2 linked regions of the Diceros bicornis minor genome follow. The main gene of each other region encodes a partner of the protein of the gene in region 2 in a complex. Links are inferred from orthologs where the notes say so. Each region holds a gene or a part of one and is shown on either strand. Other genes may lie near its edges.

Region 1 (6,520 bases), on a different chromosome or scaffold from region 2:
TGTGAGGGTCAGGGAGATGGGAATGACTGTCATGCCCCTCTCTCCCTCTCATGAGGGCTGCCCACACTCTCTCCCTGAGGGTGTTGGGAGGGGCTGGTCTTCCTTTGGGTTTATAATTTTGTGAATGTGGCAAGGGATCCAGGGCATGCCTCTCAGATCATCTGCATCAGAAACCCCTGGGACACTTGTTAAAATTCAGGTTCCAGGTCCTATCCCAGAACTATCAAGTAAGTAACTTTTTCGGTCACAGATGAGCCTGGCCTCTTGCAACACGCTGGAAAATACAGCAGTGGCTAAGATCCAGTCTCTATCAGGCATTTTCTTCCCTTCCTCCAGTTCTTGATGTGTGTAAGGTGGGACCTTGTTCCCAGTTTGCTTGGCAGAGCCCCATGTCTTTGGAAAGGAGGAGATTCTTTCCTTTTCTTGGCAACACACAGGGAAGGAATCCTCTTTGGTCCCTACACGTACACATGTGCGTGCACATGCACACACATGTATTCCTACCCCGGCTTCTGCTGCAGGGCCACCAGGATGCTCTCCAATGCCATCTGCTCTTGGTCCGCCCACATGTTGTCCACCTGACGGCCAAGCCGTGTCTTTGCTTCTTGCTCCTGGTTTCTCTCTCTGTTAGGTTAGAGAAAGAGAAACAGCTGTGGTTGCTATTTGGGTAGGATTTGGGGAGGCCTGGGAAAGGCCAGGACAAAGTGAGCAGAGCAGGGTGTGTCTCTGTGCCTATTCCCATGTCTGGTGCGGACACTTCCACCCAACCAAATTAGATTGAGCTGCTTTTAGCAAGGCAGTCTATACAGTAGTGAAGAGTATAGGCTGTGAAATACATATTTGCAAAATATCTCCCCACAGATTACTTATTCATTACAAAGGGAAAAATATTAACTTTACAGACGAGAACCCTGGCAGACACCATGTTAACCAAGTATCCAAGTTACCATCACCAATACTGGGACAAAGTGACATCATGTGCCTCCTGATACAATGCACTGAGAAGGACACAATGTCACTTCTGCGAATGTGAATTTGAATCTAATCCTGAAGAAACACCAAGTAAACCTGATATGAGGGACATTCTATAAATAGTTGGCCTTTACTAATCAAAAATGCCAGCGTCATGAAAGACTGAGGAATAGTCGCATATTACAGGAAACTGAAGAGACACGACAACTCAATGCACGCTGTGAGCCTGGACTGGATCCTGAATCAGGAAAATAAATAATTGTTCTAAAGGACATTTTGAGACAACTGGTGAAATATGAATATGGACTCTAAGCGATTATACTGTGATTATGTAAGAGCATGTCCTTCTGTGGCATGTTAGGAGACACACAGGGTAAAGGTCACACCTAAGGGTAAAGGTCATGATGACTGCGATTAACTCTCAAATGATTCAGCAAAATAATAATAATAATAATAAATGCCTACATATGTTTGTGTGTGCATGTATAGATCCATATCTAGGTATAGATATAGAGTAAGCAAATATGATAAAATATTAGGAATTGTTGAATATAGGGAAGGGTGTGTGGAAGTCCATTGTACTACTGCTGCAACTTTTCTATAAGTTTGGAATTTTTCAAAATGAAAACTACCAAATGTACAGGCTGTGGAGTCAGGCTATTTGGATCCCGGCTCTGCCACTCTTTGATGTATGTCGTCTAGAAGCTATTAACAGCTCTGTGCGATGCGGGTAAGAATCCCTACTTTGTAGGGTTGTTACAAGGAGCAGATAACAAACTAAGGGTAACGGCTAACACTACCAAGGGCTGACCGTGTGCCCAGCACTGGGCAGAGTGTGTGTAAATGTCCCAGGGCAGAGCCTTTGTTTCTACCACAGTCACAATCAATAGAATGGTAACTGCAGTCGGTATTGTTAGTGTTGGAGCCTCACATGGGGAGAAGCACATAGCATGTCTTCAAGGATCATTTCATGGTTAGAGGTAAGCTGAGGTTTGACAAGGGGGCCCTTCTGCTATGGCAAGTCCAGAAATGACAGAGGCTGTGCGAGGGAAGTGACAAAGTTTGGTCCCTCCAAACTCTGATGCATAGAAGGACAGGAGGAAATCACGAGAACTTCTGCTTACCCCTGCTGTCTGCTCATGATGTCCTGGAGTAGCTTGCGGGCAGACAGCTGGCTCAGCACCTTCCGGTAGCTGTTGGTGAAGATGGCATCTGCATACCGAGGCATTCTATATGGAAGGAGTCAGAGGTCAGAGGGCGGGGTGGTGCGGCCAGGCGAGAGGACAGCCAGGGTTGGGGCGGGCTGCGCTTACCATATCTCTGTAAGGTCCTTCTGTTGCCCTTTGCCTTGCTCATCCCAAGAGAGAGAGGGACCCCAGGCTGGGAGACCTCTCTGGAGCTCAGGGGCTGCCCCATCCCAGACGTGGTCAGTGGGGGCTGCCTGAGGATATAGCTGCGGGCCAGCTTGTGGCTCTATTCTGCACTCCTAAACTACCCCCCTGGGTGGCAGGGACGGCTTTGGGGCAGCAGGAATCCAGGCCCTGTGGGCAGGACTGCTTACCTGAGGGGCGGGGAGGGTGGAGAGCAGTGAGAGCCACTGCTGAAGGTGAGGATCACGAGGAAGAACACCCAGAGCAGCATCCTTCACTCCTGCAGTGGCACCTGGAAAATGGCAAGAGGGGAAGGTCAGGTGTAGGCCTAGCCACAGAGATGTTCTTTGCCGGCTGGGCCCAGCCGTGCGCTTGGCTCTGTACAAGCCTTGGTCCTTGTCATTTGAATGTCATGGGGTAGGAAAAAGAAGCCAGGCTCTGGAAGTCAGACAGACCTGGGTTCAAGTTCTGCCTCTGCCAGTCATTTTCTCCATCTGTCAAATGGGCATGAAAAACTACCCTGCTGACCTCATAGGGTTGAAGAGAAAATTAATGATCATGGGGAGACTGCCCCTTGCTATAAGGCATTATGTGTGGAATTCAGGCCTCAGCAAGCTAGGGGAGGAGCAAGCACTTTCCCTTAGTCCCCTAAGTCACCCCTCTCAGTGTGGCAGACAGCAGTGAGCGGGGCTGACGGCTCAGGCTCTGAGTCAGACAAATCTGAGTTCATATCCAGGCTCTGCCATCACAAGCTGTGTGTCCCAGGACAAGTGACTTCTCCTTTCTGGGCCTCAGTTTCCCTATCCCTAAAAGGGAGTCGATAACTATACCCACTGCATAGGGTCCTTGTGAGGATTAAAGGAGATGAGAGTAGCCTGGCACACAGGGAATTCTCCACAAACCTTTGCTGTGATACCTAATATCAGACCCACTCAGAGGGCAGGCTGGTCCTGTGTTTGTTACGGGTGGAGTTGGAGGGAAGGGAAGGCTTTAGATCTTGCTCCACATGCTTAGATCTCACCCGAGAGTCTTACCCCTGGCAGAGACCAGGAGCCTGGGAAGCCAGTGCGGCAGAATCAGCGCATAGATCATGTAATTACCCCTAATCGGGGCCTGCTGACAGCGTGCTCTGCAATTAGGGGAAGAACAGTCAACAGGGAAAAGAGCCCGCCTCGCTGTGGCAGGTATCTCTGCTGTCAACCCAGACCTGCCTGGTGTGGAAACAGGGTGACTTGGCCACCTAGGACTTGGGTCTTCCCATCTCCCATGGCACCCCCTCTCCCAGCAGGATATCTACTCCACGGGGAGACAGACCCACGCAGAGGCCCAGCCAGCCCCAGAGATGGGCAAGACCCCTCCTTCCCCATGATCACCCCACATCCTCCATTTCCTCTCTGGTCCTGCTGAGGGGTGATTTCCAGCAGGCAGGGCCAGTGCTGGCAGAATCCACCTTCCTTTTCTGGGCTCATTGGCCCTCTTAGGGCATTTGCCCCCTTCTCCCAGACACTGGGGTCTCGACTAACCCAGGGATGCCTTGAGACCGAAGGGAGTGTGCATGGGGACTGCTCAATGCGGCCTGAGAACCCCACACCTCCAGAGCTGGAGGGAACAGCCTTCCAGGCCTCCATCATCAGCACCTCCTTGATGTGCGCCCCCTCCAACCCCCTTCCCCCCAACAGATGATCCTGCAGTTCCTGCTCAAACACTTGCTGCCAGTGAGTAACAGTGAGCTCATTACCTCCAAGCCAGTCTGTCCTATTTCCAGGCAGCTCTTGTTAGAAAGTTTTTCTCATCATGTCAAGTCCAAATCCCCTTATCCTGCAAATACTTGTTAAGCTTCTACTCTTCTGGTAGAGACTGGGGCTAGAGAAAAGACGAAAACACGGTATCTGCCACCCAGGGCTGCCCCTTTGACATTCATCTGCTGTGCCACCCAGAGCTTCTGCCTTTCATCCACATGACAAGCCCTTAAACGCGTTTTGCATCTGACTCAGGCCTTTGCTCACCAGACCAAGGATCTTCAGTCTTCTGTCCTCACCACACCTATCACGTCTGGCTCCTCTTCTCCCCGCCTGGTCCAGGTTGCCTCCCTAGCAGTGGAATTTCCTAAACATGGAGATCTTTGGAGGCAAGGAGGGCCCCTTGACACAATCCCTGATTTTTCTGTCTCCCAGCTACAGCCTGGGCTTTCTTGCCTTCTTTGCTGCTGATCTTTTAAAAACCTGGGTGCATCCAGGTCCCTAATCATTTTACTCCCCTGCTCAGAAGCCCTTGGCCCCCAACTCTCTCCAGAGTGAAGCCCACGTCTCTGCTCCGGGCCTAAGCTCTCCCTCGGCCGCTCCTGCCCCTTCTCCCAGGGGTGGCACAAGTGACTCCCAGCCCCAGTGCCCTCCTGACCCACACAGCTCACCCGCGATACCTGCCCTGTGAAGCAGGTACCACGATCTTCATTTTACAGCCGAGGGAACGAGCCCAGAGGGGAGAAGAGCCTTTTCCACGGTCCTCCATCAAATTAGTTTCAGAGAGGGCACTTCAGAATGGGCTTCGCGATTCCCAGGCCAGCAGCCTTCCTCCTGCTCCGCGTGGCAGCCTCCCAGATACAATACCCTATTCACAGCACTCCCCATTCACGGGGCGCTTCAGAATTCATCACCTGCGCATGGGAAATGGTCTGAGAAAACGGAAAGCTTTTGCTCTTTGTCATTGGGTCTCTAGGGAAGAAAAAAAGGAGACAAACAGGGACAGCCGCTCGGCCAGCACCTTCCTGTGCACACTCAGTGGTTTTAGGGAGTTGACAGTAACCTGAGAGGAGGGCAGACTTTCTGGGGAGAGTCACAGTAAATACAGTGACTTCTGGCTCATCCAGAATGAGGCTGAGCAACGGCATCGTCTAGTCAACCGAGAGGCACCACATTTACCATAAACCATGAGCCCCAGCGATGGGTCAAGATGCCATTACAACCTCGGGGCCATGAGAACCTAATCCATAGGGTGGCAAAAATCCCGCTGGAGAAAGATGGGAAACAACAAGAATTATCCAGCTTATGGTGTGAAAAGAATAGAGGTTGGTCACCAAAGATAAAGTAGCAGTTGACAGACGTATTCCACGTGACCAATCTAGGGACCTAGAATTCACCGAGCTAAGTGTAGCGTGAACCCAACAACATCATCGACAACCCCTTGATGGCTCCGAAGGCATTTTAGAGTTTACCATCTATCATGATGAGTATCAGCTTCCCGCAGTGCTTACAGACGCATTCTGTGATTAGATAGATTTGAGATCATCTGGACTCAAGATCAATGGGCACTTGATCTACATCGGTTGGCACCTTCTGCCAGGCTTCATGCCAAGAAAGACACGACAATCCCGCAGATGCGCCTTCAGCTAACGGCAGGGGTCAGGTCTCAAGTGCCCAAGTGAGCAAGGCCACTTTTGAACACCTAGGAAAAAAAGTCTTTTCCCTTTCTTACATATTCTGCTTCGTAACGGAACACTAAAGCATTGGCATCCTGATCCACTTTTTAAACTGTTTCAGAAATAATGTTCCAAGTCAAAGGAGATCTAAGTTTTTAATGAGGAAGCATCTTGAATTGTCATTCAAAAGAGTGACACCTGGCCTCCTTCCAGAAAGGGTTTGAGGAGGTTTATGGTGAAAGACACAAATACTTCAGGACCATTAAAGCACAGATCAAGAGACCAGCGTGGGGGTAATGGAGCGCTCCAAGGGTAGATAATCGTGTCTAAAACCTAGAGTAAGGCGCACAGCTGCAATTGAGCAAGAAAGCAAAATGTTATCAATTTCCAGGCAATTACGTTGACTCGGTTCTGAGCCATAGAGGAGCGGTATTGATTTGCACGGCCCCTTGGCTCCTTTCTGATCCATGGCAGAGTCCCGTTGTCCATAGGAAAATCTACCCACCTCGTGTCTTGCCCCAGAGACCTGCCTGCACACCCTTGAAGGAGCACTGAAACCTCATCCACCTCTGACAGACACCTGGAACATGTCTCTCTGCCTGCCACTCCTCCAAGGGTTGAGATGCCACGTACCAGAGACAACCTCAAAATGGCGCCAACCACCAAAAGCATGTTCCAGAGCCCCTAACAAGGGATCTAAATGTACTCACCCATCCACGGGCAAAGAGGATGGCGGTGGGCCTTTTGACTTGGTTGCTCTGAG
Region 2 (7,668 bases):
AGTCACCCACTCGCCAGAGCCTGCCATCGGCCAGCACAGCAGCCCATCCCAGGTCCTAGGACATCCTAGATAGAGATGGGAGCAGAGTAGACTCAGCCCAGGGGACAGGCCCTCCAACATTCTGATTGGTGAGGTTGGGGAGATCAAGGAATCTGAGAAGCCGCCTCCTCCCTCCTAAGCGCCATACCCAGAGTGGCGTTGGGCATCTCCTCTGCCACCTGGAGACACGCCCTCTCCTCCTCTCTCAGCTGGGTGAGGAAGTCACACTCTGGGTGCACGTGGCCCAGAACCTGCAAGAGAGAGTTAATGATGAGCCCAGCCAGTAGGGTGCTCCTTCTGGGTTCTCTGGTCCAAACGACCTGAGGACAGAGACAAAGCCTGATTCATTTCTGCACCCCTGCTCCCAAGCACGGGCCTGGCTCATGGCGCTTACAGGTGTACTTGATGGAAGGAAGGAGGGAGGGAGGGAGGGAAGGAAGAAAAGAAGAGCTCCCCAACCTCACCACTCAGCAAGGAAGGAAGGAAGGAAGGTGGGCAGGAGGGAGGGAACGAGGGAGGGAAGGAGGGAGGGAAGGAAGGAAGGACAGAGGGAAGGAAAAGGAAGTGATAAATAAATGACAAGCCATGGGATATACTGGAGTATATGAGGAAGCCATTTGGTGTAAAACTAATTCAGCCTGACCTTGTTTTTCCAAAAGGGCCTGACATAGCCTGTTGAGCATGCATTGCACATTTGCTTTAAGTATTTACTATGTCCCAAAGACAAGAATGAAACCCTTAAAGATAGGGATGTAGCTTCCCCCACATTGGCATTTCTTTAAGGATAAGCATCTCTCCCTAAACTAAGGATTGATTGCTGACCTGCTGTGCTCACCTTGTGACAACCGACCTTCTATGTTCACTGATCTGCTGTGCTGGCAAAGCAATCTCGTGACTATTGTAAAAGGGATATTCCCGTCCTATGTGACGTATGCTCTTTGTTCCAAGAAGGTATATACCCACTCTGTACACCCCACTTCTTTGGAGTGTTTCCTTCCTTTGTGAAGGGACTCTCCTGGGCTATATGGTCCTTAGGGTTGGCTCATAATAAACTCACCCTAACTTTTGATTTATAGATTGTTTATGAATTATTTGCCTCGACAGAAGGAAGGAAGGAAGAAAGGACAGAGGGAAGGAAGGAAGGAGGAAGGAAGGAGAAAGGGCAGAGGGAAGGAAGGAAGAAAGGACAGAGGGAAGGAAGGAAGGAAGGAAAGAGGGAAGGAAAGTAGGAAGGAAGAAGGAAGGAAGGAGGGAGGGAGGTTTGGAGGGATGCTTCCTCTTTTCGTCTCATGGCAGTAAGTTGTGAGACACCTTACACAGGAGTCCTCAGAAGAGCTCGTGGAGGTGGCTGACTCCATAACGTGTCCGTGTGGTGGCCTCTCCTCCTTCCCTGTTTTCCTCCCGCACCTGCACTCCTGCCGCCTGGGAGCAATTCTGCGTAGAGCACCTTGGTAGGCAGAATAACTCACCCCCCCCCAAAAAGGTCCACATCCTAATCCCTGAAACCTGTGAATGCGCTACCTTGCATGGCAAAAGAGACTTTGCAGATGTGATTACGTTAAAGATCTTGAGATGGGGAGATTATCTTAAAGATCTTGAGGAGGGGAGATTATCCTGGATTATCTGGGTGGACACGAGGGTCCTTATAACAGGGAGGCAGGAAAGTCAGAGTCAGAGAAGGAGATGTGATGATAGAAGCAGGGGTGTGCGTGCTGGGGGAAGTTGTAGTGTTGGGGGGTGTGTGAGAGAGAGAAAGTGTGATTTTCCCGTGGGGTGCACACAGACGAGTGAGGAGGTTCCCCTCTCTGGGGAGGGGAGGGCAGCAGAAGTTACCTGTATTGTACCTTATGCCCAGCCCTTGACGTATCAGACCCCACTCAATGCACAACAGCCCTGGCAAGCAGATATTATTTCCTCTTTTACAAGAGACAAGGGAGGCTCAGGAGGGGTGAGGAACGCCCCCAGGTCACACAGCTAGGTTCACTGTGCAGGATTCAAGCCCTGCCCCTGGGGGCAGGTGTCTCACAGTGCTTGGGAGGCGTGGCCCCGGGGGTGGTGCCCCGCCCCCACAGCAAGCCAGTGGAGGAAGAAGGAGACCTCAGTCCACGTGGGGCCCGGGAGCCCCCCGGGAGCAGGGGCTGCCCACCCAGCACCTTGTGCCTCCCATCTTGGTCCCTGCATCACTCGCAGTAGCTCCTGGAGAACATGCTGGGAAATTGCAGCACATTCAGGGAGGGCCCCTGTCCTGGCGCCCCGTTCTCCAACAGTCTAGGCCTCCAAGCAATATTTGGTTGCCAAAAGCTTCTCCAACCCCAGGACATATCATAAGAGGAAGAGTCTCCTCAATCCGGAGAGGAGCAGCTGTTCTCCACTAACCACTCAGGCCACTCAGTCCTTGGCCACAGCCTCTTAAAAGAGCCTCCCAGCAATCAAATGGGAGTGAGGCTCCAGGGGTCGTGGGGACAAGGAGGGGTCTGGAGATCTTGGAGGAGGAGTGTATGGAAGAAATGGGGGTGCAGAGCTTAGAGAGACTTGGGATGTGAAGGGAAGGACCTGACTGCCTCCCAATCCAGAGGCACTGTCTTGGGGCAGACAGAGTCTCTGTGGCCCCCAAAGGGCACAGACAGGCCCTGGGGGAGGCAACAGGGAGGTGAACTCAGCTCAGCCCCGGGAAGGACATTTTAATAGTCAGAGCTACCCAGAGAGAAGCAGACTGCCTGGGAAGGGAAGGGAAGGAGGGAGCCACGGGTATCAGTTGTCCAAGCCACGGCCTGCCGCCTGCTTGGTAGAGAGAGATCCTACACTGGGGAAGGGTAGCAGGGTCCCCACCAGGCTCCAGCCGGACCCTCGTATGGCCCTGAGGCTGCCAGACCTGGAGCCCAGCGGGAGAGGCAGGAAGGTCTGGGCTGGCTACTCACGATGGGTAACAGGCTCAGCAAGCAGAGGATGCAGGCACCCCACGCCCTGCTGTCCATGGCGGGGGCTCGGCAGTGGCTCCTCAGGCAGCCTCAGTGAGCCTCGGCCCTCTTCCCTCCCCCACCATCCCCTGCTGCTGCCGCGGCATCACACCCTCTACCTCCCCTTCCTGGGTGGTGGTTTGCATAGGCAGGAGCCAGGATAGGGCTCAGAAACAGCTGAATATTTACCAGGATTGCAGGACACCATGCCCAACTCAGCCCTGGCCCTGGGGTGGGACTCCATGTCCCAGCAGGGAGGGGCTGACTCCTTCCCCCAGACTCCCTTCCACTCTGTCTGCAATTTAGCCTGTGTGTCTGTCCTTGAGAGAGCCCCGAGAGGTGACAGCCACAGGACACCTCTTACCCCAAGAGGTCAATATTCTCTCCCATTTTCTTCTCTGAGCCTGCTCTCTGCTGGCCCACACTGGAGACAGCCCCCCAAAAATGAAGGAGACTCAAAGAAGAAGAGGAAGACCTGGGCCTGCCCTCAGGGAGCCCCCAGTTCGGTTGGTGATCCCAGTCTCGTCCACTGGGCTGGAGGGAGGGCTCAGGGCTGTGGGTAGCCAGCGCAGGTGGATACAGGGTGTCAGGGGGCTGGAGGGTAGGAATGAGTGAGAAAAGGAGATGTGATCACTAAGTACCGGCACAGGCTGGCCAAGAGGGTGTCATATCGGCAGGACCTCTTTTCTTTCCCCGGCAAGGACGTCAGCCTGGATGGCAGGGTGAATCTGCAGATACAAGGCCCTGACTTCACGTGGGGCTTGTCAAAGTCTCTCCAGAAGTCCTCACAGCAAGAGGGGAAAATGAGGCTGAATAGGCAGCTTGCAAGGGGATTCGTGGGGCTGGGGCATCCTGAACGGGCCAAGACAGCTGTTTTCAGTAGCAGACACGAAAGGACTTACACAGCCGCTCCAATTATTTTGAACATTCATTACCTGGTCCTTTTTTATTATAGTTTAGACTTTAAAATGTGGGATCCCATTTGGCCAGGCGTTCTAAATTACCCTGGATCTCGTACAGCATTTTTCACATTTCATCTCCGAGGGCCCTGAACGCCCCAGGGCCTGGTCGGCGCTGACATTTGTGGCAGGTCTGCATTCCCGGAGCTCGCTGGGCTGGACGCTGCTGACAACAGACGTGTTTACAGCCTGACACGAATCATGAATGATGAAGGCTCCCCGCCCCCGCCACATCTGGATTGAGGAATCATTTTACATAAGCAGGGCTTTCTTTTTCCATTTGTATTCATCGCCAATGAAGTGTTGGAGAAAAATATTTTGAAAACAAAGCATGAACCACCCCAATCCCCAGACCCCGCCTGCCCTCGCACAAGTATTGTTGTGTGCTTTGCGGTGAACAGTGCGGGCGGGCGACACAGACGCTGAGCTCAGCAAGTCGTCAGGAGGAAGCAGAGTTCCCCTGATGGCAGGCCCAGTGAGGGTTTGCAGGGTGGGAGGGCAGAACACGGAGAAGGTGCAACTTAAAGGGAAAGCTAGAATCTCCTGTCCTCCAGCTACAAAGAGGCAACAGCCCAAGGATAAATATCACGATTAATCACTGTTGATAATTAGTATCAATGTCATTAGCTTTAATGATGGTTAATAATTGACATTGATATGCAATAATAACTATTACTATCTAAATTAGTGATTCTTAACAGGAAGCAATTTTGTTCTCTAGGGAACATTCAGCAATGCCTAGTTTTCATTGTCATAGCCAGGAGTCAGGAGTGGGGAGGAAGCTTGGCAAGGTGCTATAGTATCTAATGGATGGGAACCAGGGATGCTGATGAACATCCTACAGTGCACAGGTATGCCCCACAGCCATATAAAGAACTATCCAGCCCCAAAGGTCAATAAGACTAAGTTTGAGAAACACTGTTCCAAAATCCTGTTCATGTTCCCCAAGGATCCCCCAGCCTCACTGTCCCTTCTGAATAGGCCAGGGCCACTGAACTCCCATCTCTCGTTATCTCTGCATCTACTCAGGGTTCAAATTCTGTCTCTACCACTTGCCAGCTGTGTGACCTTGGGCAAGTTATTTAACCTTTCTAAACCTCAGTTTCCCCATCTGAAAAATGGGAATGATACCTTCCTTATAGGGTTGATGGGATCAGTAGATAAGGAAAGGCACATAAAGTAGCTCATACAGAGCCTAGCTCACAGTGGACAGTCATCAACGATAGCATGCAACAAGGAAAGACTGTTGGCAGATAAGGTTAGAACAATTGATTCTTTGTATGGAAAAAGAAGATTAGCTCACATTTACGAAATATAAATTCTAGAAGATTTAAAGCCCTATAAAACAATAATGGAAATTGGTTTTATGACCTTAGAAGAAAGGAGACTTTCTTATATAAAAAATAAAAACCATTAAGAAAAGATTAATGTTTGTTCACATCAACATTAAAAAAAAATGTACATTCAAGAAAGGATACCATAGATAAAACTACAAGCAAGTTATAGACTGAAAAAAACATCTATGACCAATTATGACAATAAACACATGGTATCAAAAATATGTTTTAAAAATACCTACAAGTCAATAATAAAACACAATAAAAAGGTGAGCAAAGGATATAAATAGGCAATTCAGAAAATAAGTGAAATACAGGACCAATAAACAGATGAAGAAATGCTCAACATCACCAATACTCAAGAAAATGAAAATGAAAGAGAGAAAAGAGCCTACCACATTGCCTAAAATATTAACGTCTGATAGTATGTTTGGAAAATACTGTGAGGAAATAGTATTTTTATACTGTGCATATTGGAGTGAATACTGGTACACCCACTTTGAAAAGCAATTTGATGTGATCTATTGAATCTATATATGAACATACCTATAAACCATAAGTTCCATTTTTGGGTATTTGCCCCAGAGGGCAATATTGTTTATAATATGTAGTAAAAACCAGAAAACAACACAAATGTCCAACTATAATGAAACAGCTAAATAAAATGTGATATATGCATACAATGGAATACAGTAGAGAATTAAAAGGATGAACCAAATCTATCCGTATCAACGTGGAGAGATTTCAAAAAACGTATTTGAGGAACTTCTGCTTCCAGCCAACAGAGCAACAGGGAACCCACTTACTCTCCTCCTGCCTTAACAACAAGAAATCCAAATAAAATACACAAAATAGTTTTTTGTATGAGTTATTTTTTTTTAATTTTTAATTAATTTGTTTTTTATTGCAGTAACATTGGTTTATAACATTGTATAAATTTCAGGTGTACATCATTATACTTCTATTTCTGCATAGATTACATCATGTTCACCATCCAAATACTAATAACAATCCATGACCACACACATGTGCCTAATCATCCCTTTCGCCCTCCTCCCTTCCTTCCACCCCTCTGGTAACCACCAATCCAATCTCTGTCTCTATGTGTTTGTTTGTTGTTATTTTTATCTTCTACTTATGAGTGAGATCATATGGTATTTGACCTTCTCCCTCTGACTTATTTCACTTAACATACTATTCTCAATGTCCATCCATGTTGTCACAAATGGCTGGATTTCATCGTTTCTTATGGCTGAGTAGTATTCCATTGTGTATATATACCACATTTTCTTCATCCATTCGTCCCTTGATGGGCACTTAGGTTGCTTCGAAGTCTTGGCTATTGTGAGTAACACTGCAATGAACACCGGGGTGCATGTATCTTTACACATTGGTGTTTTCCTGTTCTTTGGATAAATACCCAGCAGTGGAATAGCTGGATCATATGGTAGTTTTATCCTTAATTTTCTGAGGAATCTCCATACTGTTCTCCATAGTGGCTGCACCAGTTTGCACTCCCACCAGCATCGTACGAGAGTTCCCTTCTCCCCACATCCTCTCCAACACTTGTTGTTTCCTGTCTTGTTAATTATAGCCATTCTGACGAGCATGAGGTGATATCTCATTGTAATTTTTGTATGAGTTTTAATAGATGAAGGAAAAAAACTACATGATCATCTCAATTGATGTAGAAGAAGCATTTGACAAAATCTAACACCACTTCAAGACAAAAAACGCAATACTCTAAGAATAGAAGGGACCTTCCCTAACATGATAAAGGCCATATGTGAAAAACCCTCAGTGAACATTATACTCTAGGGTGAAAGACTGAAAGCATTTTCCCTGAGATGAGGAACGAGACAGGGTATCTGCTTTCTCCCCTTCTATTCAACGTAGTACTGGAAGTTCTAGCCAGAGTAATTAGGCAAGAAAAAGAAATAAAAGGCACCCAAACTGGAAAAGAAAAAATAAAATTCTCTCTGTTCACAGATGACGTGATCTTAAATGTAGAAAATCCCGGAGAATCCACACACAAAAAAAAGGTTAATAAACAAATTCAATAAAGTTGTAGAATACAAAATCAACATGCAAAAATCAGTTGTTTTTCTATACACTAACAATGAACAATCTGAAAGGGAAATTAAGAAAATCATTCCATTTACAATAACATCAAAAAGAAATACATATATATATCTCTACAGTAATCATGACAGTGTGGTGTTGGCAAAAGGATAGACATACGGAACAATGAAACAAGATAGAGAGCTCAGAAATAGACCCACACAAATATAGTCAGCTGGTTTTTTATAAAGGTGCAAAGGCAATTCAATGGAAAAAAAACAGTCTTCAACAAACAGTGCTGAAATAATTGAATAT

The links. Proteins that work in one complex are often made in the same cells at the same time.
Region 1: the proteins of GHRHR (region 2) and GHRH are in contact, whole or in part, in a cryo-EM structure (PDB 7CZ5), measured with the Homo sapiens proteins. The link is inferred for Diceros bicornis minor from reciprocal best matches to the Homo sapiens genes GHRHR and GHRH. Residues at the interface, in NP_000814.2 of Homo sapiens: Leu119, Ala120, Glu122, Glu123, Phe126, Ser127, Val129, Lys130, Tyr133, Val179, Lys182, Leu186, Phe187, Asp190, Thr192, Asp193, His194, Cys195, Phe197, His210, Thr213, Phe217, Ala271, Cys272, Asp274, Leu275, Asp276, Trp282, Ile285, Ile289; in NP_066567.1 of Homo sapiens: Tyr32, Ala33, Asp34, Ala35, Ile36, Phe37, Thr38, Asn39, Ser40, Tyr41, Arg42, Val44, Leu45, Gly46, Gln47, Leu48, Ser49, Ala50, Leu53.

The regions. Positions count from the first base shown.
Region 1 is NC_080758.1:22,802,320-22,808,839, reverse strand, and holds GHRH (somatoliberin), read right to left. Parts: upstream 2,614-6,520; coding exon 2,534-2,613; intron 2,202-2,533; coding exon 2,097-2,201; intron 625-2,096; coding exon 501-624; downstream 1-500. UniProt on the Homo sapiens protein: GRF is released by the hypothalamus and acts on the adenohypophyse to stimulate the secretion of growth hormone.
Region 2 is NC_080742.1:55,225,064-55,232,731, reverse strand, and holds the start of GHRHR (growth hormone-releasing hormone receptor), read right to left. Parts: upstream 3,015-7,668; coding exon 2,958-3,014; intron 291-2,957; coding exon 188-290; intron 66-187; coding exon 1-65.